7 linked regions of the Bombyx mori genome follow. The protein of the gene in region 2 purifies or fractionates together with the protein of the main gene of each other region. This does not show direct contact. Links are inferred from orthologs where the notes say so. Each region holds a gene or a part of one and is shown on either strand. Other genes may lie near its edges.

What was found.
Region 1: the proteins of probable ATP-dependent RNA helicase DDX23 (region 2) and pre-mRNA-processing factor 6 purify together in Homo sapiens (affinity purification with mass spectrometry; 3 studies listed by BioGRID and IntAct, counting the BioPlex papers as one, with this or other methods). This does not show direct contact. The link is inferred for Bombyx mori from reciprocal best matches to the Homo sapiens genes DDX23 and PRPF6.
Region 3: the proteins of probable ATP-dependent RNA helicase DDX23 (region 2) and U4/U6.U5 tri-snRNP-associated protein 1 purify together in Homo sapiens (affinity purification with mass spectrometry; 3 studies listed by BioGRID and IntAct, counting the BioPlex papers as one, with this or other methods). This does not show direct contact. The link is inferred for Bombyx mori from reciprocal best matches to the Homo sapiens genes DDX23 and SART1.
Region 4: the proteins of probable ATP-dependent RNA helicase DDX23 (region 2) and small nuclear ribonucleoprotein sm d2 purify together in Homo sapiens (affinity purification with mass spectrometry; 3 studies listed by BioGRID and IntAct, counting the BioPlex papers as one, with this or other methods). This does not show direct contact. The link is inferred for Bombyx mori from reciprocal best matches to the Homo sapiens genes DDX23 and SNRPD2.
Region 5: the proteins of probable ATP-dependent RNA helicase DDX23 (region 2) and U4/U6 small nuclear ribonucleoprotein Prp4 purify together in Homo sapiens (affinity purification with mass spectrometry; 4 studies listed by BioGRID and IntAct, counting the BioPlex papers as one, with this or other methods). This does not show direct contact. The link is inferred for Bombyx mori from reciprocal best matches to the Homo sapiens genes DDX23 and PRPF4.
Region 6: the proteins of probable ATP-dependent RNA helicase DDX23 (region 2) and CD2 antigen cytoplasmic tail-binding protein 2 homolog purify together in Homo sapiens (affinity purification with mass spectrometry; 6 studies listed by BioGRID and IntAct, counting the BioPlex papers as one, with this or other methods). This does not show direct contact. The link is inferred for Bombyx mori from reciprocal best matches to the Homo sapiens genes DDX23 and CD2BP2.
Region 7: the proteins of probable ATP-dependent RNA helicase DDX23 (region 2) and protein AAR2 homolog purify together in Homo sapiens (affinity purification with mass spectrometry; 3 studies listed by BioGRID and IntAct, counting the BioPlex papers as one, with this or other methods). This does not show direct contact. The link is inferred for Bombyx mori from reciprocal best matches to the Homo sapiens genes DDX23 and AAR2.

Annotation. Positions count from the first base shown.
Region 1 is NC_085109.1:9,953,170-9,956,257, forward strand, and holds part of pre-mRNA-processing factor 6, read left to right. Parts: intron 1-2,605; coding exon 2,606-2,830; 3' UTR 2,831-3,088. UniProt on the Homo sapiens protein: Involved in pre-mRNA splicing as component of the U4/U6-U5 tri-snRNP complex, one of the building blocks of the spliceosome.
Region 2 is NC_085121.1:15,456,154-15,460,215, forward strand, and holds the start of probable ATP-dependent RNA helicase DDX23, read left to right. Parts: upstream 1-1,262; 5' UTR 1,263-1,446; coding exon 1,447-3,885; 3' UTR 3,886-4,062. UniProt on the Homo sapiens protein: Involved in pre-mRNA splicing and its phosphorylated form (by SRPK2) is required for spliceosomal B complex formation.
Region 3 is NC_085118.1:17,264,241-17,269,193, reverse strand, and holds the start of U4/U6.U5 tri-snRNP-associated protein 1, read right to left. Parts: upstream 3,015-4,953; 5' UTR 2,688-3,014; coding exon 2,549-2,687; intron 2,321-2,548; exon of another isoform or gene 2,269-2,320; intron 888-2,268; coding exon 761-887; intron 537-760; coding exon 385-536; intron 1-384. UniProt on the Homo sapiens protein: Plays a role in mRNA splicing as a component of the U4/U6-U5 tri-snRNP, one of the building blocks of the spliceosome. May also bind to DNA.
Region 4 is NC_085132.1:3,761,719-3,765,193, forward strand, and holds small nuclear ribonucleoprotein sm d2, read right to left. Parts: upstream 1,961-3,475; 5' UTR 1,885-1,960; coding exon 1,883-1,884; intron 1,781-1,882; coding exon 1,528-1,780; intron 1,236-1,527; coding exon 1,131-1,235; 3' UTR 880-1,130; downstream 1-879. UniProt on the Homo sapiens protein: Plays a role in pre-mRNA splicing as a core component of the spliceosomal U1, U2, U4 and U5 small nuclear ribonucleoproteins (snRNPs), the building blocks of the spliceosome.
Region 5 is NC_085130.1:18,539,811-18,544,014, reverse strand, and holds part of U4/U6 small nuclear ribonucleoprotein Prp4, read left to right. Parts: intron 1-247; coding exon 248-342; intron 343-1,010; coding exon 1,011-1,169; intron 1,170-2,224; exon of another isoform or gene 2,225-2,853; coding exon 2,854-2,959; exon of another isoform or gene 2,960-3,456; coding exon 3,457-3,527; exon of another isoform or gene 3,528-4,204. UniProt on the Homo sapiens protein: Plays a role in pre-mRNA splicing as component of the U4/U6-U5 tri-snRNP complex that is involved in spliceosome assembly, and as component of the precatalytic spliceosome (spliceosome B complex).
Region 6 is NC_085111.1:10,749,621-10,754,579, reverse strand, and holds the start of CD2 antigen cytoplasmic tail-binding protein 2 homolog, read left to right. Parts: upstream 1-1,852; 5' UTR 1,853-3,304; intron 3,305-3,628; 5' UTR 3,629-3,762; intron 3,763-3,988; exon of another isoform or gene 3,989-4,234; intron 4,235-4,359; 5' UTR 4,360-4,372; coding exon 4,373-4,555; intron 4,556-4,744; coding exon 4,745-4,959. UniProt on the Homo sapiens protein: Involved in pre-mRNA splicing as component of the U5 snRNP complex that is involved in spliceosome assembly.
Region 7 is NC_085115.1:3,919,192-3,924,024, forward strand, and holds the start of protein AAR2 homolog, read right to left. Parts: upstream 3,086-4,833; 5' UTR 2,983-3,085; coding exon 2,780-2,982; intron 2,507-2,779; coding exon 2,304-2,506; intron 1,882-2,303; coding exon 1,624-1,881; intron 1,278-1,623; coding exon 1,151-1,277; intron 902-1,150; coding exon 484-901; 3' UTR 1-483. UniProt on the Homo sapiens protein: Component of the U5 snRNP complex that is required for spliceosome assembly and for pre-mRNA splicing.

The sequences.
Region 1 (3,088 bases), on a different chromosome or scaffold from region 2:
TATTATTTATAGCAATATAAACTGTCGAGCTGACGGCTGATATCATTCCAAATTTGGCCCGATACTGCTTAAAGGACGACCACCACCTTCTGGCCTTACGCTATATAAAATGAGGCCGAATTAAAAAAATAAAACATTACATTTGAAGTCGTCGTGGCCTAAAGGATAAGACGTCCGGTGCATTTGTATTTAGCAATGCACCGGTGTTCGAATCCCGCAGGCGGGTACCAATGTTTGTAACAAAATACGTATTTAATAAATGTTCACGATTGACTTCCACGGTGAAGGAATAACATCGTGTAATAAAAAATCAAACCCGCAAAATTGTAATTTGCGTAATTACTGGTGGTAGGACCTTTTGTGAGTCCGCGCGGGTAGGTATCACTGCCCCGCCTATTTCTGCCGTGAAGCAGTAATGCGTTTCGGTTTGAAGGGTGAGGCAGCCGTTGTAACTATACTGAAACCTTAGAACTCATATCTCAAGGTCGGAGGCGCCTCCAGTAACCACTTAACACCGGGTGGGCTGTGAGCTCGTCTACCCATCTAAGCAATAAAAAAAAACCTTCGTACGTTATTCACCCGATAGTGAGCGGTCACCGAAGCTCTTAGACCTAAATAATGATAGAGCTCAATTAGCTCTCTACAGACGAGTAGAGTACAAGCAATGTTAAAAAAAAATTTTTGAACGTCCCTTTTTGTAAATTATGCGCATCCGAATTTGATATGTGTCTCTCGTGAATGAATTCATTCTATTTATAGATAAACCAGATTATTTGTCAACGATCCTTAACATATTGACTGGGCAAAGTGCACTTGAACATTTACGTCATTATTCATTACTCTGTTCGCCGTCTAGCTAGGAATTCGAATTCGAATATTTCCTTATTTATAATAAACTTCTAGTTTTCCTCCGTCGACTGTTTTATCGTTAAAATTTGGAAAGCAACAATACAAAAAAAAAAAAACACGCGTTTTTTTAACACGTGATCTTTATAATAAATAGCCTTAAATATGCAACGCTTAGTAAAACATGACGCGTTCGCAATTGACTTCCTTGCAACGTTATACACTTTCACTTTCCTTTGTTTAACCTTTTTGCGTACGGAATTATACAGTAAGGCCATATTTTATTTATTTATTTTATAAGCAACAGAAGATACTATTGAAAAACGAATGGTTCTCCGCTAACTGATTCTCAATAGGTTTTAAAAAAAAGCGTCTAAAATTCCTTATTTTTTAAACGGATTGTCTCGATGTATGTGTTCGTTACTAGTTAAAGCAGAGCAGAAATATATAGCTGTCTCTCTCGCACGACATAGTTACGTAAATCCCAATGCTCTGCTTTTTTTGTTTTATGAGACCTTTTGGGGGAATACGATCTTAGAAAAACATAATAAAATACAAAAGGTGTCTGCTTTTGGTCTCTAATAAGCCAAACGTCCTAAGTGCCCACCTACTAATTCTTCAAAAAACAGCCCATAGACCACCACCTATAATAATAATAAGGGTCTAATTCTGAGAATTAATTTCGTGGGTGAAACGAAAAAGTGAAAAGTTTTGATTGCCTAAAATCTTAATCTCGATTACATTGCACCGGTATTCTACTCGTAATAAGTACATAATTATGATTAAAAAAAAAGCGAAAGATAAAATACCAACGCGATTAAAATAAAAATTATAGTTGTATGAAATAATAAATTAAATTGTTTAACGCTACTAAAAGGGTACTTGGTTGTTAAGTGCCGCCGCGAATTTATGTATTATAGTAAAACGCCAGATGTTAGAAATCGTGACTTTTAATCATTTGTATCCTTCGTAAATTTAATCTTAGAAATGTTTGAATAGACCCTCTGTTTCGTGTACAATTAATTAATACAACAGAAAAAAAATATCATCGCCATTTTTTTTTTCATTACCTTTTTGCTGGTGGCCTAGATAGCTAGGTAGCTAGCTAACCCAGCTTTATTTTTTATTTTTTTGATTGTCTTTGTATGCAGACGAGCATACGGCCCACCCGATGGTAAGTGGTTACCGTCGCTCATGGACGTCAGTAATGCCAGGGACAGAGCCAAGACGCTGCCTGCCACACAGTTACACCCAGACGGGTAGGTAGGTGAGCTCACGGGCTCAACCTGAGAGAACTTGCTAACACCAGTTCTAGCAAGACCCGTGCTTCACAGAATCTACCACCGAGTCGAAATCGCGATTCACTGAGAAGATCCTACGAGAAACTCAGTGGGTTGCTTGTATGGGGATTAATAATAATAATAATAATAAAAGCAGTCTTGCTGGACAATGCCCGTATAGCTCGCCGGTTTCTCGCCCAACAGTCCCTAAAGCTCCGGCCGATCGTTGCCCACCTCACCGGAGTGTGTCCTGCCGTCTTCCCAGGCGAGGCAATGCTTAATACACATATAAATAATAATAATAAAGCCTTTTTATTTCCAGTAAATTTACATAACTTAAAATCTATTAATGTGTGTGTGTTTTTTTATCACTTGCTTAATATAATTAGTAGTTATGTTTACTTAATATTATGTAGTTATATATGGGGGGATTACTATTGTTTTTCTTTATTGTTTCCAACGAAATTTTATGATCTCAGGTAAAAATCGATCCCGACTTGGGGGACGCTTGGGCGTATTTCTATAAATTCGAGTTACTTCACGGCAACGAACAGCAACAGGAGGACGTGAAGTCGCGTTGTCGGGCCGCCGAGCCGCACCACGGCGAGTACTGGTGCAAGGTTTCTAAGGACATCGTTAACTGGTGTTTCAGCACCGATCAGATACTGCTTCTCGTCGCTAAAAACCTGCCAGTTCCTTCTTAAAGACTTTAAATCCTTAAATACGTTTAGTTTTATGTATGTTAGCATGTAACGGAATCTTTGAACTTACTGGTGGTAGGACCTCTTGTTAGTCCGCACGGGTACGACCACCCTGCCTATTTCTGCCGTGAAGCAGTAATGCGATTCGGCTTGAAGGGTGGGGCAGCCGTTGTAACTATACTGAGACCTTAGAACTCATGTCTCAAGGTGGGTAGCGCATTTACGTTATGGATGTCTATGGGCTCCAGTAACCACTTGACA
Region 2 (4,062 bases):
ATTGTTGAGTATTAATTTTTTGTAGAATTTACACTTTAATAGGAAGTATGTATTATATATATATTGTTATTTGCAAAGATGACGTGATTTAGATGTGTGAAATCTAAGACAATTTCGTGCTTCAATTTGCCAAGTAAACAATATGACGATTTTTAAAAGTTGCTACACTGATTTTATAAACTTGTCGTTTGACAACTCAGTGACGGCAAATCATAAACATATGGCGTAGTACAGTGCCATCTGCCAATTTCTAGCATGCTAAATGTTATCATCGTTTCGTATGTTGCCATCTCGCTCGCACTTGCGTATATGCCGGAAAGGTATAAAAGCTTTATGTCGGCGATAAAACGTTAGCATGCTAGCTATGCTGTTTTGTGTAACCTGTTACCTCTCAATTACAACCTATTTTAATTGTGTTGCTGACTCTAAAGTCCGTAACACAGTACCGCAACATACCTCAAGGTAGGTGCGCTGCACCATTTGAATCACTCTCACTTGAGAGTGATTCAAATTTAAAACGACCCTCCTTGTGACTTCCTCTCTAAAAACACTTATTTATTACAAATTTACCGAATTTACAATAGTTGTTTACTCGCTACGGAATAAAACAATTTTACTTAAATAGTTCCGAAGAGAGATTTTGTCAGTAACCTTTTTCCCGAAATATCTAAACAGAATGTCTAAATATGTTTTGATGACACATTTTATTAAGAGGTATTTATGATTTGTGTCATGAACAATAGATTCCGACCGAAAAATGGTGTCAGAGTTTTCGGAGTAGTGCTCCATAATGAATTTAAATATATATAGATAATACTTTTGGGGCATCGACTTTCTTGGGATCCTATAAAATATTTTTTAATTATTATTTTTGTATGTTTTAAGCGGGGTAGCATGATAAAATAAGAAATTTTATATAAGCAATCATATTAAATCGATATCAAAGTTAATAAATAATGTACAACCCAAGACAGACGGCTGAGCTGACTTACAGTGACATTTGGTGCGCTAAGCATGTCGGATTTTCGGCCTCATTAGATTTTTACGTATATTCATATTTCATTCTATGTACGCACTGAAATACTGTTATATTGTTTTACTGCGAGTTACAGTGCTGAGTAAGAACGAGATAGATATAATATGTTTAGGTGTGTGCCATCAAAATGGGTGCTACTTATTTAAGCAATTGTGCGTATAGAGGAAAACAATATGTCGCGTCTCTATTATATAGGTCTATGGGTTTTTTACTTCAGTGGTTTTTAGGGCCATTTGACAGTTCATAAATTATGTTAATGTCAAAATTGACAAAAATGTGACATTGAAGTTGTTCACATACTGCTACATTTTGTACATGAAAAATACACCGAATTTAATTTTATTGTATTTGCTGTATAATACCTATAAAGAAATTAACAAAATAAAAACCGGTGGTTCCATAAACCAAAAATGGCCCGAGACAGAAGTCCTGAACGGCGGAGGTCAAGATCACGAGATAGAAGAGATCGGGATCGTTACGATGAACGCGAATCGTATCGTGAAAAAGTAAAGCGCAGGGACAGGTCTAAAAGCCCTAAAAAAGATGCGGATAAAGCTCGAAGCCCTTCTAGAAAAGATCGCGATCGTTCTAGGAGTCCACTACGTAAAGAACGCGGTCGTTCGCGCAGCCCTAAGAAACGTGACGGCAAAGACAAAGATCGACGTTACGAAGACAAGGAAAAGAGTAGATCAAAAAAAGAAGATGAAATGGAGGAAGACACTGCAGACATGAAGAAAGAGGATGAATCCATAGATAAAAAACCAATTAAAAAAGAGCCTTTGTCCTTAGAAGAACTACTTGCTAAGAAAAAGGCTGAGGAAGAAGCCCGCAGTAAGCCAGTATTTCTTACCAAAGAGCAACGAGCACAGATAGCTTTGGAGAAACGGCGTCAAGAAGTAGAAGCTATAAGAGCTAATACTGATAAGCCTCAAGTCACTATTGATTTAACAGGTCCGTCAAGACGGGAAGAAGATAAAAGGCACAGAGAAGAACGTGAAAAAGATAGAGAAAAGGAACGTCGAGAGGAACGGGAAAGGAAATATGAAGAGAGGAAAGCCTATTCAGATCGTCGAGAACCAAAAAAAGATAATGAAGAGACATCTAAAACAAAAGATAAAGAAAGAGAAGAAGAGGCTATTAAAGCTCGTTACTTAGGTATAGTAAAGAAAAAGCGTAGAGTAAGACGGCTGAATGACAGGAAATTTGTTTTTGACTGGGATGCGTCAGAAGATACATCAAATGATTATAATGTTTTGTACAAAGAAAGACATCAAGTACAATTCTTTGGTCGTGGACACATTGCTGGTATAGATATCAAGTCTCAAAAGAAAGACCATAGCAAATTCTATGGGAATCTTTTAGAAAAGCGCAGAACTGAGTTAGAGAAAGAACAAGAAAAACTACGCTTGAAGAAAGTGAAGAAGAAGGAAGACAAGCAAAAGTGGGATGATAGACACTGGTCTGAGAAAGATGTGGATGAGATGACAGAGCGTGATTGGAGGATATTCAGGGAAGACTACAATATTACCTTAAAAGGAGGTAAAATTCCTAACCCTATACGTTCTTGGAAGGAAGCTCCCTTGCATACTGACATTATGGACATAATCAACAAAGTTGGATATAAGAGCCCAACTCCTATTCAAAGGCAGGCTATTCCAATTGGATTACAGAACCGTGACATTATTGGTGTTGCTGAAACTGGTTCCGGTAAAACATTGGCATTCCTTATACCATTACTTACATGGATTCAATCTCTGCCAAAGAGTGAACGTATGGAAGATGCTGACCAAGGACCTTATGCTATAATTTTAGCTCCAACACGTGAATTGGCTCAACAAATCGAAGAAGAAACTAATAAATTTGGTATTCCTCTTGGTATCACATCAGTAGTGGTTGTTGGAGGTTTATCTCGTGAAGAACAAGGTTTTAAGCTGAGGTTAGGCTGTGAGATTGTCATTGCCACTCCCGGTCGTCTTATTGATGTCTTAGACAACAGATATTTAGTACTAAACCGTTGTACCTATGTTGTTCTTGATGAAGCTGATCGGATGATTGATATGGGTTTTGAACCGGATGTTCAAAAAATCCTGGAATACATGCCTGTATCGAACATAAAACCTGATAGTGATGCAGCTGAAGATGCTTCAGTATTGCTTGCCAATTATAACACAAAAAAGAAATACCGACAAACTGTGATGTTTACGGCAACAATGCCTCCGGCTGTAGAGCGGCTGGCTAGAAGTTATCTCAGAAGACCGGCTATTGTATATATTGGATCTGTAGGAAAACCAGTAGACAGAACTGAACAAATAGTCTACATGATAGGCGAGAATGAAAAACGTAGAAAACTTACAGAGATTTTGCAGCGTGGTGTCGAACCACCCATTATTATTTTTGTTAACCAGAAAAAAGGTGCAGATGTTCTTGCAAAGGGACTTGAAAAACTTGGTTTCAATGCCTGTACGCTGCATGGTGGTAAAGGCCAAGAACAACGTGACTTTGCACTTGCCAGTCTCAAAGGGGGCGCTAAAGATATCCTCGTGGCGACAGACGTGGCAGGTCGTGGTATTGACATTAAAGATGTCAGTATGGTCATTAATTACGATATGGCGAAGACTATTGAAGACTACACTCATCGTATCGGCCGTACCGGTCGTGCAGGAAAAACTGGTAAAGCTATGTCCTTTGTTACAAAAGAAGACTCCGCATTGTTCTATGATCTGAAGCAGGTTTTGTTGGCAAGTTCCGTATCTACGTGTCCACCGGAACTTATGAACCACCCTGAGGCTCAACATAAGCCAGGGACAGTCGTAACAAAGAAGAGACGTGAAGAGATGATATTCGCTTGACAATCCTAGTTATAGTCTAAAATAATAAGCAATAGGTAAATTACCATCATGGTCACCAGCAAGTTATAAAGTCTATAGTTACTTTAGTTCTAACACATTTTAAACATCCACTTTTAGAATCAAAAGAATGTAATTTTAACTAAAATTCGTATATATTTCGAGAAATAAAAACAATAA
Region 3 (4,953 bases), on a different chromosome or scaffold from region 2:
TTAATTTATCAACGCAATAAAAAAGAATTTAAAGTTCCTAAGTGAAATTATTTATTTGTTGGGGCTTGACACTTGTAATTAATTCCACTACATAGACAGATACAGATCAATCTATTTAAAAGTTTGTAAGCAGTGGGTAATTTTGCTATAATATACCTATTAAATTTATCTTATGAAAATATTAACCTGAACAATTTGTGTAAAATAATGACTAAAAACATATAAAATGGCAAAAAATTTGAATTTTATTTTGTTTATTTATTGTTGGCAAAGATAACACATCAAATTCGTTATGCGTGATATAGTCTGTACATTAAATAAAATACAATATATTAACACAATAAAAAAAAAACATTACAAAAGCGATAAAACTACATTACAAACCAGCAGGTTTCTCATTGACTTCAAGTGGTTTAAGTCCAAGTTTAGCTCGTAGACGATTGGTCTCTTCAATGGACAAGCTCTCTTGTGCTCCACCACTCTGTGTTTGTACTGGAGACTTGGTTTTCTCACGTTCATACTCAACACTCTTGTCCCTATAAAAAGTAATAAAAATAGTTCGTAATGTAATTTCAAGATAGATAAGCTAACAAACCTACCCAGTGGAATTATAATTATAATAATACTTATGTTACCCATCAAATTGTGTATGATTAGATAGATACAGAAAAGAAGATGTTACTAATCATTGCAAGGTCATAAATAAGTACAAGAGTTCAAGAAGTAGTCACTTCAGTCAATGTTCAGTTTAGTTTATTACCCTTCAGATTCATTTTTCTCTGGCCGATGCAAAGCACGCATGCGGCGATCCCGATCTTCACTGTCTCCTCGAGAATGGTTAGTCTCGTCATCCTTCAGCTGATGCGAGTCGACAGGCACTTCTTGAACTGTAACAAACAGATATCTGGTGTTTAATCCTAATTTATAAATCTCAATTTCTTATTGTGGACAGATTATAATGTAACAACATTCGTTTTGTATTATTTCAGCGTAAAAATCATTTCGTGGTGGCAGATATAAGTGTATACAAACAGATAAAAGTCTGTTAATTATATTGTTTTGTATCTATGTATGTATGTATGTTTTTTATTTATTTATCTATGTTTTGTGTATAATATATATATATATATATATATACTATCTGTAGACTATACTATACTATGTGTATACTATATTGTATTAATTCTACTGTGTTGAAGTAAAACTTTACTTCTAATGTTGTAGCTGTAATCAATGTTCAGCTGATTTTAAACACATTAGTGATGTGTAGGCTGGCTGGTTTGCCTTTATAAATTAATGCAACCTTTTGATTAAGAAGTAAAGAGGATGTGAATTTGAGTTGGTCATAACAAATAGAAAAAAGAAACAAACATAGATATAGCGACAGTAAAAATAAACAATAAAACTGCAGTATGAAGTACTAAGCACAGAACAGAATCAAAAATTCTATTCCAATGAATACTGCAGGACAATAAGGACAATTCCTAGCTAAAAATAATTACTTGTTGTTTTAGTGAATTTCTATTTCAACAACCCACAAACCAAGAAGAAAGCCTGCAACCAGACTCAGTGTAAAAGAGAATGTGGATTTCACAGGTCACACAATCTTTAATTAAATACACTACTTACAGAGAATAAAAATATAACATTTTAATGGTTTTTTTAGTGGCACCATGTTCATTCACTGGGTTCATCATTTATTTTTGTTTTAAAGAATAGTCCTTGCAAAACTTAATTAGTAGTAAAGTACAATGGCCATTTTCCTACATTTCAGTTGATAGTTGTAATGTTGTATTTGGACAGACAAGTTTAGCTGATTTGATATGATTTACTACAGTCCGCAGGTGCCACAGTGTAACTGCGACATAAGACATGATGTTGAATCTTAGCTGTGCTGTGATAAAAGCATACTTCAAAGCTAGACTAGGTTTTTTTTTTAAATTGTTGTTATTGTTAATATTAAGTATGTGCTGGTGGTTGTCATTGTTTTCAAAGATTTCCGATAAATGTTTGTCTTATTTTACAGGCTCTTTTATTGTTTGTTTCTAGAGGAAGTTTCATTTAGAATGAATTGATACACATTTTGTGATTTATGGCACTATAGAATAAATAATTATACGTAGAAGTATGATATTGGTACTTTACAACATAATTATTGGTGATAAATTGTTAGTACATTGTAGTTCATTTTGTTTCCTGTATTATTTTCTGCAGCAAAAACAACTTTACTCAAATCAGGAACCTTCCATCGTTTTATTAAATACCTACCTCTTAATGACGGAGCGAGGGACGCGGTGGCTGAGCTCCAGTGCCACCGGGTCTGAAATAACGAGCAGACAGTGTGCCATTATCTTGTCATAATTAATAACAGCCAGTTCTGTTGATGACCTATGCAATTCATTATTTAAATCAAACAAACGGTTTTATTTGGATATACAAGTTAGGATGTGAATCCGTATTTCATAGTTTTGAAACGTGGTTTTTTGGCACATAAGATCATCATCAAAGGCTGGCGTTTGTTATCTTTATCGAAAGTGTTGTTACTGACCGTCAGGGGAGCGCTCTCGCTTGCGATCTTTATGTTTCCTATGCCTTTTTCGTTCACGTTCTTCACCTTCGAGTGGCGAACGGGACCTACTCTTATGCTTCTTTTTCTTTGCTTCTTTCTTATGCTTTTTTGAACCCATTCTTGTTTCTTAAATAGTCTCTTATAACAAAATTATGGGTACAAAATAAAAACTATAAAATATTAAAAAATCGTATTCTCGACAAGTGTTCTGTTTGTTTCAATAATCACAGACAATTATTATTAAAGATACTACGTAGTGAAATAGTGCGCCATTTTATTTTGCAAAATATAGTCTGGATATATTTGTGGTCCTATTTCTATTCGTGTCTTACAAATGAACAAACTTATAAAGCTATTTCTATTATGCAGTTAAACACGTTTCATAGGGAACAAAAAACAGACCTGGAACAAGAAATGCCAGTGACAGCATTGACAGATATATAGTAGTAGTTTTACTTTTTCAACTGGAAAGGCAAAGATGTCATACCATACCGCCTGATCTTTTATAAATTTATTTAATGTTTTATAAGAAAAATGATAGAAGTGAAATGAAATGAAGTTGATTAATATGAAACATGGCATGAAATGAAATGAGATAAGATGAGATGATATGGGATGAAATATAATCTCAGTGAAATGGTGGTCATTTACTAAGACTTTTTCAGTAGACTTTTTGGAGGATCCCGAGAAGTTACGTCCAGCGGCTTTGTTTTATTTTCTTACATTTGTGCATTTTCACAAATACTAAACAGTAAATAAACCACCGTTATTACGCATTTAAACCTGAAGAAACACTAAATAGACAAAATTAAACAAATCACATAACTTCACTCCTCGCGCTCCCGCCAATAACCAGATATTTGTAATAAACTAAACATTTCAAAAACAGATAGATACAATAGGTACCGAATTTGTGGTAGCATTAATTTAGTTTTTCCAATTATTTTTAGTATAAGGCTTGAATTAAGCCTTCTCGGAGTTTAAAACCTGTGAAGCTACCGACCAAATTAAGTTAATTACATTAAGTTGTTACTGGAGCCGATAGACATGAACCATGTAAAAAATGAGTTCTAATTCCCAGTGTTCACAGTATAATGAATGAACGATGAGAAACGCTTATCTGCTTCACAGCAGAAATGGGCAGGGCGGTGGTAAATGTGGCGGTGGCGGATGAAATTGCTCAGTAGGCCGACGGTCCTGTTGCTATTATTCGGAACTTGTATTTAGGAAAGCTTGTCTTGAAAATGTTAGTGAGATACAGGTATCTCTCAATTCAGTTTTTATAAGCATTAGGTACCTGTTTACTTAAGAAGGTTTAGTATATAGAAGATTACAAGTCCTTTTTCCTAATACAATACCCTATTTTAGACAGCTTTGTGGCTTCGAGACCATCGGTTGTGTCGTATGAGGTCGAGCGTTGTCGTGGAGGAGCAGCGGGGACGTGCGATTGACAGAGTCTGGCCGGGGATTTGCGAGCTTCTTTTTTTTATTATTGCTTAGATGTGTGGACGAGCTCACAACCCACCTGGTGTTAAGTGGTTACTGGAGCCCATAGACATCCACAACGTAAATGCGCCACCAACCTTGAGAATAAGTTCCCCTACCCTTCAAACCGAAACGCATTACTGCTTCACGGCAGAAATAGGCAGAGTGGTGGTACCCACCCGCACGGACTCACAAGAGGTCCTACCACCAGTAATTACGCAAATTATAGTTTCATTTTTTATTACACGATGTTATTCCTTCACCGTGGAAGTTAATCGTGAACATTTGTTGAGTACGTATTTCATTAGAAAAATTGGTACCCGCCTGAGATTCGAACACCGGTGCATCGCTCAACACAAATGCATCGGACGTCTTATCCGTTAGGCCACGACGACTTCTACTTGGGCTTCTCCACCATTATGTCCAGCTCACAGTGCACATTAATAGTGCTGGTGTCATTTGATAAGGAGCTGTGGTATATTGTGACCATGACTTTTTTAGGGGTACGCTTTCATTTGGGACATTGTCTATGTGCTGAAACAGGGTCTAAGCAACCACTTACGATTAACAATAAAAATCCAGTTTTCATCATAAGTGATAAAATCGGGAGAGTGAAAACAAAATTCCTTTGTTTCTGTGTCTGTTAAGCAACACAAGCTACACCTTAACGTTTAACGTGCGAACAAATTAGCTTGGATACAGTTCCAGAGTCTATATATCACTAACCACTGCTCTATTAGTATTCAATCCTTAAATCATATGCTTTTTTGGCACAATTGTTGAATACTTACTGGTTGGTTGAACACTTACTTTTTCAAAGATGCAGTTGCCATTCAGGTGAATTTAATTATAATTTTAATATTATTTAAGAAAGGTAATCGTATGGCCAAAAAGACTGG
Region 4 (3,475 bases), on a different chromosome or scaffold from region 2:
TACCACCACCAGGAAAAAATATCTTACATTAATTTCTCTTTCGCACTACACACACCACAGGAAGTATATCTACCTGCTGTTGCAGTTGTATTCCAACATACTCACTTTGATTTAGATTTCATAGCTTTGAGACATATAGTTGTCTATTATACATAGTTGTCTATTATAAAAACAGACAGTATAACAAACAGACAGTAATAACAGTAATTTTATTATAGTTTCATTTTTGAAAGTTCCATGAAGTTCTTCCCTTATTGTGAAGACCTTTGCATATATTCAGTTCTAATTTTATTACCACATTGAACACCAGACTAGAAATCATGTTTAGTCCAGTGGAATGGTGGACACCCTGTAACAACCATTTACTTAGGTCTATGACGACACTGTCTGCCATTTGAAATATCTCAGAAAACAATACTTAGTCACTGTTTCCATACCTCACTCATTACTTTTGAGTAATTTCTTGAGAATATTTTTGAAAAAACACTACATTTTTTTACCCTAGGGGAAAGTATGCTGTGGACTCATAGTGTCTGTCATGAAACCAACATGTTAACAAAATATTGGACTGGACTGCACAGCTTAATCCCATGATGTACATCAGATCTAATTTGCACAAATTAATAAGGGGCTATGAAAAAAATCATATTAAAAACACACTTTTACACTTTGGTTTATTATAGAAATTATAAACTTATTGACAGGTTTGTGGACTTCTTGACCATTGTAATTTTGCCATGTTTCTTTAAAAATGTTAAAGCATCTATATTTTACAAAATTGTTAGTTACTACTTGCACCAAAAGTAAGTATCTTTTTTTCAATTTTGGTATGTTCAGCCACTAATATGAAGTTATTTTATGCTAATATTAACAACAATACTGGTGAGACTCTTTTAATGCATCATTATAATAACTGATCGTTTTTAGCTTTATCTTACAATATGTGAACTTGATACAATTTCAATATATTAAAATATCGAGTTTGTTTATTTATTACATATAGTTGCAGAATCATAGAACTAACACAGTTTCCAATTTTGTAAAAGTATTATTACAGTTTAAGGAATGAACCAGTAAAGCTATTCATTTCCTGAATATTTTATTCATTAATACTTAAACTAATTACTGCATTACTTCCCTGCAGCTGTAGCAAGAGGATTCCTTAGTACTAAGATCACAGAATCACCGCGGAGGAACATTTTGGAGATGAATTTGTCCTTGTTTACAGCTTTGCCCTGAAAATAAAACCAGAAGTTATACGTATTTTGAATTTGAAGAGTTTTAATGAAATGAGCTAACACAGAATGTTTCATATCCACATAATTGTCATCTTGGGAATTTCCAGTGGTTTGTATTTTATCTCCGCTAATATTGGCCTAAAATACGCGACATCATGTCTTATTGTGTACTTTTCAAGTTGGAGCTGTAGCACTTTTATACATGAGCGCTTGGGAGTGGTTCCTATTTCCAATACATAACCTCAAATTTCTGAATCAATTGAACTGAAATACAGTAACATCTGTTTACCTTCTTTCCTTTGCCAGTTCTCGGTACCTCAGTCCACATTTCCTTAACATTCTCCAATACCATGTTACAATGCCGGTCGAAAGCCTTCACTCTACCCAGGAGTTTCTTATTGTTACGGCAATTTATCAGAACTTGTGTGTTGTTCTTTACTGACTGCGTGAGCACGGAAAGAGGTCCGGTACTAAACTCTTCCTCTTCGATTTTAGATAGCTCTTCTAGGGTCATTTCAGAGCGTGGCTTAGTTGTTGACGTCCTATAATAAGGTTAACATTAGAGTTATTGTTGACCATTACCGGCTAAGCAGATAATATGTTAAATATATTGTTAAAACTACGTAAATCATATTAATACTTACATTTTGTATTATTTTATGGGCTTGTGAACTGAGAAATTGAGTGAAAAAGATTACAATTACAGCAAAACTATCGTACACACGCTAAGTCGACGCTTTATTTTGTCTATGGTGACTCTGCTTTTTAATTCAACAATTTTTTGTAAGGAATTTTGTGACCTGGTAACTAAGACTTGTAAGTCATGTCTTATTTTAATTTATATTCTTAATTTTATGAAAAATGATAATATGGAGTGAAATGAAAATGATTAATTTGGGACATTAATCGACTGGGATGAAATAAAATGAAATGAGATGATATGGGATGAAATATAATATAATCTCAGTAAAATGGTGGTCATTTACTGAGATCTTTTCAGTGGACTTTTTGGAGGATCCCGAGAAGTTACATCCAGCGGCTTTGTTTCATTTTCCCACATTTGTACACTTTCACAGATAATACACAGTTAATAAACCACCGTTATTACACATTTCAACCTGAAGAAACACTAAATAAATAGACAAAATAAAACAAATCACACAACTTCACTCCTCGCGTTCCCGCCAAAAAGTATTATTTCAACAAACAATTATGGCCACTAAATGTCAGTTTTTAACTCGACACTGACATTGATGAAATCGTAAAAAGACGGTGGTAATACTGAAATTAAAGTTAACGAAGAGTTTCGAAAGGAGACTGCACGTCAAAATGGATCGTGAAACCCTTTCAAGATTTATTGAAAGTTATAAGTTCCACATTTTTGTGGAATGTCTCAAGCGCAGACTATATGAATAAACCAAAAATAATAAACGTATTACAATTTTTAGGCCCATTTTAGGGGAAGCTGCAAGGATTGATAGCGTGCGTAAAAAATGATATTAATTATTTGAGTATACTCTGCACGTTTAAAAAAATCATCCAAAACCTCTTGCTATTTTTTGCCTCTCTTCTGCTGCTGCTGACAACATCAGAAGGACTCCCATTTTTGGCGTTTTGATAAAGCAGCTGGCATTTTAACTTAAAACCCTCATTTAATTCGTTCGATTTATTCTGTTCGCGCTTGATACATCCAGCACTGCGGTCTTGAGCTGACGTACAGCCGTGACGGATCGTGAATAAAGCGCTAAATGCATCGTGCATCGTGCATGGCCTTGGCGGGACGTACAGCAAGATGGATCGTGAATAAGGCGCTTAAGGAAATTTTAAAATACAAAGTCATGATCATATAATCAGCAATTTTGTATATGCCATGCTTATTTTATGTTAACGAACTTCATATTCAATTAAATTTCTTTATTTCATTACCGTATTAAAGAAAAGGAAAATAAATGAAAGCGATTTCAGTATATTTTATTGTTTAAGGAACTCTTAAAATCGATTTTTGTCTGTTTGTCAGTGCGTTCGAGCCGGTAAGTCTCCACAGCAGCTGAACCATTAGGAGATGTTCTCTTATCCGAACGCGACGCGGCAACGCAAAGCCACCGTCGCTCGAAACATGTCTTGTGAGATCCCCCGGATTCACTCTCCGTGCTTTAGGCCTCTCAATCACCGGCTACCCTCCTTATCGAACTCGTCGATCACTAGCAAATTCACCCATAGACGGAGATCACCGAGTT
Region 5 (4,204 bases), on a different chromosome or scaffold from region 2:
TACAGCCGTTCTCGAGTTTTAGCAAGACTAACGAACAGCAATTCATTTTTATATATAGAGATTATTGAGGGGCATATGTAACAGTACACCAACTTTAGAGATGTGATTTTGCCTTTTTATTTTTAGGTCCGTGATGGGAGGTCGCGTTGCTTTCCCCATGAAAAATAGCAAAAATGCATTTTTTTAAATCCAATCAAGGTATGCTGATGATTATATTGTATTGTGTACCCGTGTCTTTTGTACCCAGGTAAGGAGAAGCTTACGGCAGTTGGGTGAGCCTGTATGCCTGTTCGGAGAGGGACCGGCCGAGAGGAGAGTCAGATTAAGGGATCTGTTAAGCTAGTAAGTCAAGTGTGATATATATATGTGAGCCCTTTTATAATTTGTTTATCTCGATTTGCTAATGGAGTTTCTGGACTGTAATGGTATAATGGGGGTGTCATGGGTAATCTGAAGCAACTGACTGGTTTTCTGGGGCAGCTGGGTTAGTGCTCAGGAGGTCTCTGCTGATCGCAAGCAAAAAAGACGCAATTTCCTGATGTTGAATTGTGAATAAATTCCTATTCACCATATCATGGTGATCAGCATTTGGTAATAAAGTGTAATACTAAAACAAATTGATAAATATAAAAATGAATTAATTGTTGAATTTTAAAGATTTAACAAAGCTTTTCTAGTCTTCATTTGGCTTTATATTTTTTTATTGCTTAGATGGGTGGACGAGCTCACAGCCCACCTGGTGTTAAGTGTTTACTGGAGCCCATAGACATCCACAACGTAAATGTCGCCACCCACCTTGAGATATAAGTTCTAAGGTCTCAGTATAGTTACAACGGCTGCCCCGCCCTTCAAACCGAAACGCTTTACTGCTTCACGACAGAAATAGGCAGGGCGGTGGTACCTACCCGCGCGGACTCACAAGAGGTCCTACCACCAGTAATTACGCAAATTATAATTTTGCGGGTTTTATTTTTATTACACGAATTTAATTATTTCATTTTTATTTTCAGTCTCGGCGAAGATGCTATCAATAAGAAGCTAGAAGAGGAAGAAGCACGCCTGGAAAGAGACAGAGGTAGAGAAGGTACCTGGTACCACGAAGGTCCCCCGACCTTGAGGCAAGCGAGGATTTGGATAGCCAGGTACTCCCTGCCTAACGCCAAAAAAAGGTCAGTTTCAATTAATTCGACTCTACCCGACTGTGATATCTTGGCTGTGTCATCATTTTCATTACTTCCGGAACCTCCTTGCTGTCCCCTCTAAGGTTAGGTAACGAAGGGTAAAAGGCTGTTTGGTTCAGGCGACATTTTTGCAATATTACAGGAGATCTATTTAAAGTTTTAAAAATTTGCCAAAATAATATTTTAACAAAACAAACTTCTTCAGCTATTCGAATGGAGTAAACTTAATCTATATATTAATACGTGAAGCAAAAACTTTGTATCCCTTTTTACGAAAAATTTGGGGATGGAGGAGCATGAAATTTCTCACACTTATAGAGAATTTAGAGAAGGAGTGCACAATGCTAATATTTTTTTTAAATACTGCATAAAAGAAAACATTACATACCCTACATACCATGTATTTGACGCACACACGCATGCATACTATTTATTGTCAAACTTTTGTTCTTGACGTCTGTTGTCAAATTGAGATTAAATATTGTTTGTCTTTATTAATATTTTTTATAGTGTAGTCTTGGCGAAATTTGTGATTATAGAAGTATAAAATACAATCATAATAGTATACAAACTTATAAATTCAATTAATTATAGTCGAATTTCGACTACTGGGTGACCGCTAGTTCAATTAAAAATATCGAAATGTTGATGCTGATTCGAAATATAAAACGGACCTTTGATTACAAAGATAAATGTCTCTTAAACTAAAGAGCCTTACACCACTCGATATATATAGAAATATTGTGGATTCATTCTGGTGTCTTAAATTATGATGGGGGGTGCGCAGGGCCGGATTTAAACTTAATGCCGCGCTCCTGGTTATCGGAAAAAAAATCCGCCCTAATACTGGAATTTTACTTAAACTTATAGTTAATATATTTTATTTAAAAAAATTAAAATATCTAATTTATTGCAGAAACTTTATCATATTTTATGTCATATATTCCAAAAATGTAAATAAATATTTTTGTTTTTTTTTCTAACAATCTTAAATTTTGCACTAAAGGGTGACTAATAATAATAATATAATTAGAAATCACGACTCAAAATATTAAAAAAATATAATTAGAACGATACAAAATACAATTTTCAACAATTATTGATTTTAAATACTAATGACAAAATGTGGGTAACTAAGTTGACACGCGAATGTACAACGTCCGTCTATCCCTGGTGCTGAGATCAGAAAGAGGCCGTGAACGAGGCAATATGTTAGTGGTGTCCTCAACTCCCCTCTTCAACTCCGACCAGTCTGAAGTCGCTGCTGTATTACGTCAGCAGGCCACGCCCACTTCCGTCTTCTTTCCTTAGAATATATTACATAAAAAAAAAACTAATTAAATTTCTTTAATTACAGAAAATAGAAGATCGATTATTATTAAAAAATCTCAAGGAAATAAATTGATTAAATCAATTTTGATTATTAATTTTTACCAAAAGTGCCAAAGTTATAATTCTATTCATGAGTGAATTGAATTTCTTGAATTATCAATAAAAAAGAAAATTATTAATTAATTATATTGAGCAATCTCGACAAGAAAAAAAAATTTTTTTCACTTTCAAAAATTACCACCCTGGGCACTTTCCCCGATCGCCCCTAGTGTAAATCCACCACCACTGGGGGGCGCGACATGTCTATGGACTCGTGTAAGTTACTCGATTATTGTTACAGGCTAAACAAAGCCCGCGAGGAACTCAAGTTGGCTGGCAGTGTGCGCGCCGCCGCTAAGCAGGAGTCGCAACGGAAGGCGTCTGCCTTTAGCATTTACTGCAGCCAGGTGAGGCCCAGGTCGTGGGGGATAGAGGGTACCTAAGTTCCTGCTACACCCCCCCCCACTGTCTCCCTCCCAAGTGAACGCACTTCGTTGGACGGTCGTCGCTGTGGACCCTCAGAAGTTGCAGTGGTGGGGGCCAGTGGGGTGGGTAATATAGAACTAGGATCAAAATGGCCGACTATGACCCTGTGATGTTACGTATCCTAGTAAATTAGCGAAACGCATTACTGCTTCACGGCAGAAATAGGCAAGGTGGTGGTACCTACCCGCGCGGACTCACAAGAGGTCCTACCGCCATTCCTTAGGAACCATGGTGCTGCAACGGATATCCTGCAAAAACGGAACGTCTTAGTTTTTACCGGCTAGGCCCACGTGATGTCGCAGTCACAAGGTTCTCGTGTCAGGGCTGTCTCGTTCCAAACCTGAGCACGTGGCCACCTCGTGGCGGCCCTAAGCGTGCGGGGCAGCTCAGCACATAAATCTGTGGTGCTCTTCATCAGATCGGGGACACGAGGCCGCTGAGCTTCTGCAGGTTCAGCCAGGACAGCAAGATGCTGATCACTTCGAGCTGGTGAGGGTCTTTGCCGATATTTTTCTTCTTTTTTTTTACCTAAGCTGATAGATAGCCTTGAGAGGCTATTTCAGCGTAACTTTAATCAAATCAAATCTACCGCCAATTCATAAAAAGTAGTCCCCGTCTTGAGAAGAACTGGCAAGAAACTCAGCGGGCATGCATTTTTTTTTTTTTTTTAAACTAGTAGGTGAGCTCACGGAGCTCAAACCTGACGACGTTGCTAACACGAACCCCAGCAAGAGCCGTGCTTCGCAGAATCTACCACCGGATCGGAAACGCATCAATGCAAACGCAAAATGTATTAATTGTTAACTAATTCTTCTTCTTTGTCTCCATCTTATCCCCCTAGGTGGGGTTGGCACAGCGAATTTTCCTATTCCATTCTCTTCTATCAGCCGTCATCTCAACACTGTTTCCTCTCTCTCTCATATCGTCATTCACACACTCCATCCATGTCTTCTTCGGTCGACCTCTTCCCCCTCTACGTTGCACTACCATTTCCATACATCTCCTAGTCACATGCATCTTCTCTCCATGCCTCACATGTCCACACCACGCTAGCCTATTTATTTGGTAGTACCTACCCGCGCGGGACTTACAAGAGGTCCTACCACCAGTAAAGGGCTCCCCTGTAAAGTTGCTAAAATGTCACTTAAACCAAACATCCTTTCATG
Region 6 (4,959 bases), on a different chromosome or scaffold from region 2:
TTTTCTTTCCAAAGTCCTTGAGTATATTGTCCACCGTCAGTTGTCGTCTTTTCTCCTCTCCCACAATCTTCTTAGCTCCTTCCAATCTGGTTTTCGCAAGGGCCACAGCACGGTTACAGCTCTTCTAAAAGTGACCGATGACATTCGCTGGGCCATGGAAAACAAACAACTAACTTTATTAGTGTTGTTAGATTTCAGCAGCGCCTTTAACTTTGTTGACTTCGATGTTCTGCTCGAAATACTCAAATCAAACAATATCTCCTCGTCTGCTATTAACTGGTTTGATAGTTACCTTCGGGGGCGCTCGCAATGTGTCCGTCTTGACGAGACTTTCTCGGATTGGCAGAACGTCAGTGCGGGCGTTCCCCAGGGTGGTGTTCTTTCTCCTCTTCTGTTTTCTGTGTTTATAAACTCTGTCACTAGGCTTATATCTTCTAAATTCCACCTCTACGCAGACGATCTCCAGCTATATCGCCACTTCTCAGAGCCTGACGTTGAATCGGCTATTGCTGCGATGAACAGTGATCTGAAGTCTATCACTGAATGGGCAAAAGCCTACGGTCTGCACATTAATCCGGGAAAATCACAGGCTATCATTATAGGGGGTAAACAATTGCGCAGTAGACTCAGCGATCCTATACTCCCCCCAATTTATTTGGATGGGACTCAAATAACTCTAACCGATTCAGTTAAAAACCTGGGTGTATGGATCGACATCTTTCGTGGAGTTCTCACGTTGCTGAGATTAGTAGGAAGGTGCACTTCGCCTTGCACTCGTTGAGATGTCTGCAGGGCTTCTTACCTCAGCATACAAAAATATCTCTCGTCCAAGCTCTCATTCTACCCATAATTGATTACGCCGATGCCTGCTACTTGGATGCCACTGAGGAGCTCTCAAACAAGCTTGAGAGGATGCAAAATCTATGTATCCGTTTTATATACAATCTCAGAAAATTCGATCATGTTTCACATTTTCGCAAAGAACTTAAATGGCTCCCTATACGCCTTCGTAGGAATACTCGAATATTATGTCTCCTATTCAATATCCTACATAAGCCCACTTCTCCCTTATATTTACGTGAGCGATTCTCTTTCATTCGTTCTCCTGATGCTCCCTGCAGGTCCAACCAACGTTCTGTTTTGTTATTCCCTTCTCACAAAACCAATTTCTATTCTCACTCCTTTACTGTGCACGCGGTCAGACTGTGGAATTCGTTGCCGGCTGACATCCGAGTTTGCAAGTCTGTTTCTGTTTTTAAATACAAGGTCAAACAATTTTATCTCTCATCAACCGAGTGATCATGGTTCTATACTCTTCGTATATACGAGTGTTACTGTGACTTATAATATTTTGTACTCAAGTTTAACAATATTTGGTATGTGTAAGTGCATTACTATAATTCTCATGTTGTATTTGTTGTTTTAGTTATGTATTATTTGTTCTACACACACTTATCACTTTTTATTATTATTCTCATTATCCTCTCGCAGGTTTGCTGGAAGAGATTTCTTAAAGAAATAAGCAGTGCCTTTGTACATAATTTTCCTATTACTCTGTACTATGTCTTTTTTTCTGTGTGTACATAAATAAATAAAATAAATAAATAAGTTATTCCTTCACCGTGGAAGTCAATCCAGAATATTAGTTGAGTATGTATTTCATTAGAAAAATTGGTACCCACCTGAGATTCGAACACCGATGCATCACTCAACACGAATGCACCGAACGTCTTATCCTTTAGGCCCCGACGACTTTTTTATCAAGGTATGTTGCTTAACACTCAGCTAAGCAGTTTCCCTGGCGAAAGTCGACGAAATGCGGTTTGAAGTGCTTGATCTTTTTTTTTGGACTGGGGGCCGAACTTTCTAGGAATACCCCGCCCCTAGGGGCGCATGGGGTATGGGAGTGAACCGCGGGCCTTCTTTTTGTTTTTTTTTAACGCTGTAGAATCCGTACGGTTACCCGGTTGAGGGGGCTTACTGACCGCTACGACTCCACGAAACCCACAATACCGCGCCGAAAGTCCGCCTTCGCCGGTACCGCGGGCCTAAAGGATAGAATTTAGGGCCATACCCACTACACAACTCCCCTGCACTCTCGCCCAATCGTCTGATACCCTTCCAGGTCAGAACCCGGGTGAGGTAAAGGGGTTATCGCGGTCAACACTACAGACAGCGCAGCTCCCCCGAGGACGTCCGGTCGACGGAGCCTTTGAGACGGAATGCTCTACAGCCGTCAGCCGTCTGGGTACGATAGCCCGTCAGGCCACCCACACAGTGCGACTGGAGTCCCGGAATACCCCGCTGGACTAGAACCAGGCTGTCGGGTCGGGATGCGATACATCGCCAACCGGTTGCTCTTTTTTCACGTTGATTGTGTAATTCTTCGGTAGCGCACTACAGTGCTTCAGCTGAAGCAACATCTATTTTTTTCTAATCCAAAAGTGTGACAGTTTTTTTTCGCAAAATAACTCCCGAGTGCTATTTAAACAGTTTGTACAGACAGTTGTTTGTTTGTTAAATAAATACATATACATAAATATATACATATAAAAATGTGTATATATAAATAAATATCAATTAGATGACTCTGCTAACTCTTAGCAGAGTCATCTAATTGATTCTAAGTACTCGAAACCTTGTCTTAAACTCTGGCCGACCTTATTTTAAGTGGGAGCGCATTCCATAGAAGAATAGATTGAATAGTGAAGGAAGAATGTAAAAAGTCCGAACTACCTGCGAACTAACAGCGAAGAAGAAGATTGTGAGATGAACGAAGATTTTGGCTGTAGTCAAACCCTAAGTATTCAGGTGGATTTGGGAAGTGCAACAAAGAGTAAAGAGTACTGAGAGCACGCAAGCTACGGCGTTGTCGAATGGGGAGCAATTTGAGTTGGGAGCGATGAGAAGATACATGATCGTATTTCCGAAGATTATAAATAAATCGAATGCAGTTATTGAGAAGCCGGTTAAGTTTATTGAGTAGATCTGCATTCAGGTCAAAGTAGCACACATCACCATAGTCGATCATGGGGAAGATCAAAGTTTAAACGAGCATTGTCTCTTGGTTTCGGGCGGAAGGATATTGTTCAGGCGGTAAAGCATACGGAGTGTAAGTGTAACTCACTGACACACGGAGATGACCTGGGCTCGCCAACTCAGGCTGGAGTCAATAAGTAGGCCTAGGTCCTTTACAACCGAACACCAGTTGATGGTTAAGCCAGCATATATTATTTGATAATAATATAAGACGACTGTGATATAAAAACTTTATTTAGTGTTTGAGCCATCATATATATTAACGGTAAGTCTCAATTGTTATTGGTTTTAATGTTTTTTGATAATTTAAAAATACATATTAAAATTGTTATGTTTGGGGTTAATGGGGTCACCTGAGCTACAAATAACAATGAAAGGGAGGTCAATTGGGACGACAATAAGTTGAATGGGAACGACTTAAGTATAAATACGTACAGGATTGTAGGGTTGTCTATGTAGTTATAACAATCTTTTTTAAACGTGTTGGTAAGAATCTCATTTATTCATGATGTTTTTGTCTAAAACTTTTATTTAATTATTAGTGCAATTATATTTATATTATCAGTTACGTATTGTTTTCTATTTTTAGATATGCCTCGCGTGTATGTATCAAAGAGTGCAAGCTTTATAAGAGATATGATCCCTTAATATTAAAAACAGCAATAGAAGACTATGAATTTGGGAATAAGTCTTTAGTTGAAATAGCTAAGCAATTTAATATAAGTAAGTCGGTTTTGCACAGATATATAACAATTAAATCTCAAAGTGGACAAAAATGTCTAAGTAAAGAAGAAGAAAAATACAGTTACACACATATTAAACAGTTAATAAACCACCATTATTACATATCTAAACCCGAAGAAACACTAAATAGACAAAATAAAACAAATCACACAACTTCACCCCTCGCGTTCCCGCCAAAAAGTCCTAAAACCAAACATCGTAGTCATAGACATAGATTATACACTTAAATATTCGAGTCATTGATACACATAATAAAATTAATAATTGAGATTTGAGACCATACCTTGATAGACATAAAAACATTGATTTCATTGATAGCGTACCTAACACACGGCAACAGACACACAATCACAATTAAGAAGAGGTACCAACCGTGTACCAACCTAGTTGAATCTGATTCACTCAATTTGAGTTCACCTATTCAAGAAAAGGCGCCCAAAATATTATTAGGGTGAGGATGAGTAAAACTTTGCTTAGTGTTCAATGATAATTTAGGAATGTGCCTATAGTTTAAAGTCTTTGTTAGATAAACCCAAATATTTTTTAATGTTTTTAATTAAAATTTGTTCCTTTTAGTTACTTTACCAAAATGTCAAAGCGTCCCGCTTCCGAAGCATTAATAGACGAAGTAAAAAAGGCCACGAAGGATGGCAAGAAACATTCCTTGGATTCCGACGAAGAAGATAGTGGTGCTGAAGAAGAGAAGAATAATGTTATGAACTCCAATGATATTGAAGGTGAAGAGGAAGGAACTGGTGGAATGGAAGGTGAAGTGAGTAGAATAAGTCAAAAACCTAATCAGAATACTCAAATTGTTGTGAGAATTAAAAAATGTTTCTTTTTCCAAACAATACTTAAAATGCTTTTGAGGATAATTCAGCTAATTTAATATTAACAACTTAATTAATACTTATAACTATCAAATAAAATATTAATTTCATTAATTAGTACTATTTTATAGATTACAATAACACCTTTTAACATGAAAGAAGAACTTGAAGAAGGGCATTTTGATACACAAGGACATTACCATTGGAAAAAAGAAAAAGAAATTCGTGATGGATGGCTTGATAACATTGACTGGGTTAAAGTAAAAGGTAGACCAGAGGATAAATATAAAATTCATCATAGCGATGAAAAAGGACTTGGTGATGAATCTAGTAGTGAAGATGAACA
Region 7 (4,833 bases), on a different chromosome or scaffold from region 2:
AGATCAAAAGAATGATGGCCCATGATTGTGTGAGCGTCCACACCATCGCCGATTAGTCAGGATGTAGTTGTCTCGAATGTGTGTCAATTGTGTCCACTTTAAAACTATGGTTGCGTGGACCTTGTTTTGGTCCGATTGATAACCACCACCCACCACCTTATCTTCTTTCATCTTGCATTGCTGAAGTCCATGGGCGACTCCGTCTGTCTACAAGAGGGATTTAAGAAAAAAAAGTTTTCACGATTCTTTTTTCGCGCACATTAACTAAATGACTATATAGACTATATAGAACTAAAAATATTGCCGCAGCCGCGATCTCCTCGATTTCCATCATCGATACCTAGACGTCTTAACATATCAGTAGACAGTCAGTAAATAAACGTTCACGATTGTGTGGAGAGTTGCCCCATCATGGCGGCGATGATGGACGATTGTTTGTTGGCCTATCATGGCCGATTGTGAAGAGGAGCCATTAAATATAATCTATTGAGTTCCATCGTCGAGTTTCACTACGACCGGCCTCTCGTCTTCATCGTCAGCGTCTAGACCAGTGAAATCCCATTGCAATTTGTCGGTCAGGTTATCTTTGAAGCGTTCAATCATCGTCAAAAGTCTGCCGTCGACTTTGCTTACGTAAGCCGTGCGGAAAAACTCACGGAGTTTCTTGTATACTAAATTTTTATTCATCACTATATCGGCTAAGAAATCTTCGGGCATCTCTTCGATTTGCACCTCAATAGTCCTAATGAAGTGAAAGAAAACACTTCTGTATTTGTGTATGGCCTCGTCACACGAACATATGAGTATGACGAGGCTCTTCCAGTGCTCAAAAGCCTCTAGGGAGTGCCCAATCAAAAAGCACAAATATGCGAATTGCAGTTCTCCTATGATGTGTAGAGGTCTGAAAAATAAAACACGTATATAGAATTCTAGATTTTGGCTTTTGTGCATTTAATCATGTCAAGAGTCGAGACTTGACTTTAGCTTCCTGATAACTTCGGCACTGAACAATGCTTAAAATATCCATCATAGACATTCAACTGTATATGTAATCAACATATGAATGTAGTATGTAGTCAACAAAATTTTATATTAAGATACCCTCAAATTTCTCTTAAAATACTAACAGTTAATAAAAATAGATACTTACTCATTATGCTGTGCTATCATGAGCTCTAATGAGTATGACTGATCTAAGTAATGTTTCGTGATCTCCTCTGGTGTTGCATCCGGTGGATATTTATCTTGAGGTATTTCTGTGAATCTCATAGCAGCTCCTGTAAAGATTCACATTTTAGAATTCTTTTATTTTTTTTTATATTTTTTATTGCTTACATGGGTGGACAGACGACAGGCTCACGGCCCACATGGTGTTAAGTGGTTACTGGAGCACATAGGCATATACAACATAAATGCCGCCACCCACCTTGAGATATAAGTTCTAAGGTATAGTCAAACCGAAACACATTACTGCTTCACGGCAGAAATATGCAGGCTGGTGATAACCTATCCATGCAGCCTCACAGGTCCTACAATCAGTAATTAATTAGGCGTGTAGTTTTATTTTAGTAGATATATAGGGGAAAAATATTATTTACATTTATCTTTGTTTCATTAATTTACCTGGAACTGGTTTCAAATCTGGTAACAATGACTTTTCTTTCTCTTCCCTTGTGATTCTTTTAGCTCTCTTAGCACTTGAGTGTCCGGCAATCTGTTCTTCACTGAAATCCTCTTTAGTGGGAGATTTTTCATTCTCCTGACTTATTGAACTAGATGAAGACTTGACTCCTCTTGGTCTTTCTGCATCAGTCATCGATAAAAGCTCAACTGATGCTCTTATCATTCCACTTTCTGGTGCCAATTTTGCTGCTAGTTCAGCTGACAATAGAAATTAAACTTAGTACAGATTATTGATATAAGATTCTGGAATAACACAATATTTTAGTTTCTTGTATGAATTGTTTTTTCTGATACAAGCCTAAGTTTACGGGGCTCAAACCAGGAGTGTTGCTAACACTGCCTCTAGCAATAGCAGTGCTTCGCAGAATCTACCACCGTATCGGAAACGCAACCCCCTGAGAAGATCCGGTGAGAAACTCAGTAGACTGTGTCTATGGGTTAATTTTACTCATTAAGCCCTTCATCACAAGCGACGGGTTCGGCGAGGACAGTGACCAGTCTCAATATGCTCCACTATGCCAATATGACCAGGCTCATAATGTGAACTACCACCAACTTCAACAAGACTAAGTTCATTCAAGATTTGTAGGGCAAGTATTTCTTTAATTGAAGACACCAACCAGTGATCTGTGAAGACAGTAACTTCCACTTCTGCCATATTTCATATGGATATGGAGCAAGATGTCGGTCCAAATTAAATAAATTATCTTTCAAACGTTGGATGCTCTCATCACTGATCTCTTCCTTGCTCAAATCTTCAGTTTTTTTGTCCCACATTTTCACAAGAAATTCTTTTTTGTGAAAGTAATGCATGAAGCCAGATCTGGAATTTAATCAAGAAAAGTAATTTATTTAGGTATGCAAGTAACAATAATATTGATATCAGTCTCATATAAGTTCAATAACAATACACGAAGAAACTTAATAAGCTGTATACATATATTTTGTGCTTCGAATATGTAAATTCTGAGTGTAAATCTGATATCGAATTACCATATTAAAATTAAGTGATAAGATTCCAAAAACAACCTCCAAACTTGAATTCCTTGTATAGTACTAGGATTGTTTTTTTAAAGTATATATAAAACGCACTTACCTAGGTGCAATATCGCCAGTACCTTTACTGACAGCAGAGTAATGAACATAATGTAAGCCTGGAGGAATCATTTTAACGCCACGAAAATCTTCCTCCGTGTTCCAGCACTGCATATCGATGCCAAACTGGGTTTCTGAAGGGACTCTCAAGAATACAAACGTGCCCCCTTCCACTAGCAGCTTTTTCGCTGTTTCTTGATCCATATCCAACTATGCTCCCGAAACAATGAAATATGAATTAATGGTATGATAAAAATACATACAATCAATCAATCAATGTGTTTACATTCGTGAGTGTCAAACGTCAATGTCAAAATCTCGACGCGTGCCGATTTGAATGTTTCTGAACGTGAAAGGTAGGTACAATGCAGACTGAAGTGAATAGATTTTTTAATAATTTTCTTAGGTTTGAAATAATGTTTTTGTTCTCAACTATGTAAAACAATGTTTTAAACATTAAAAGCACCATAACCCAATACGATTGTATTTAACAGTAACTAAGTGTCTGTCTGTTATCGAACTAACCCCTGTATAATATATATTGTGTGCGTCTTATTTGTTTTAGGTAAATCAACAGAGATCCTGTCATCAAATATTCTTAGCTACTCACTTAATTCTTAGTGAATATCTGTGACCTTGCTCGTTCACGAAGCCCGCTATAGAAAGCAGAGTATTAAATACACTTGACATTGGCGAAATCTAAAAGGAAACGCCATAAGCCTAAGAGATAGATAGATAGATAGATAACTAAGTGATGTGTCCTTCACTTGTTCTATTTGTTTATTTTTTCAGCATGGCTACCTACGACTATCTTTATAACTCAATTCATTTGAAAAACTAAGTTTATAAATATATCATGTTTAATTTTCGGCATATTATTATTAAGTTAATTAATTTGTTATTTTAAATCTGTCTGCTATCTTAGGATTTGTTTTTCTACATGAGCACAGAATCACGCTTTTTATAAAGTAATTTCTCTAAAACATAAGACAGGAGGGTAGGTACATTAATTTATATTTCTGTAACGCTTAACGGAGCTACTCATAATAGAACAGAGAATAAGTCAGCAGAGCGTATATGAAAAACTTCGACGAAACTCAAATTTGATGAAATATATTGATCGTACGGACTTCTGAGACTCCCACCTCACCACTCGAATCTTAAAACGGAAGCGCATCTCAAAGCGTGCCCGCGTCGGGAGAACACGCGGTGAGATCTAATCGTGGTGCTGGGGAGGGACATCTCCTTGCGACTGTCGTTGATCTTATGTTAAAGGACAAGAGTTCGTGCGAGGCTTTGCGAACTGATTCTGGTGTTCCATGAGGCTGAGGAGTGCGAAAGGGAGTGGGATCTCTCTTCAGGTCCTCAGCGAAGAAGGCGGAGTGGGCGGCGCGGGCGCGAAGCTTCCGTTCATCTCCCGTAGGGGCCGTCAGGTACAGAGTCCAACACAACCCGTTCTGTTCCCCCCTCAATATTAAGAAACCAGGTCAACGGGATGAGCACGATAGGTGATAGATAATCTAGATTAAGGCGAAGACCCAATTAGAACCCTGTAATCAATGCGAATGCTTTCGAACATAGTATATAAGTATACTGGTATGTTTAATCTTGTTATGATAATTAAGATTTTAAAATTATATTCATAGTTAATCCCTTTAGTAGTAATAATATATGACAAGGCACTATATTTTACAGGAATTCAGTGATTAAAACTCAGAGGAAAGACCATAATGCAAAACCTTATGGTATTTTTTATTCCATCATCTTAATTTTTTATAAAAAAGTCTGGTGTGGTTCGGATCGGACGATGTTCAAGTTAACTGAGAAATAAGAAATTTGTTTTGTCTTATGCAGAATTTGAGATAAGAACACATCCGAGAAAAGTTTAATTATATACTGAATTTTATAAGACAAAAAAAAATATGTATTGTTATTACCTATTACATTTCTGTTACGTCTCTAATATAGTTTGACTTAATCAAGTAGGTATATTTTTTCACATACGTACATAGTCTCGTCCTTTAAAGTAATGGAATAAAAAAAAAGATCCATTTT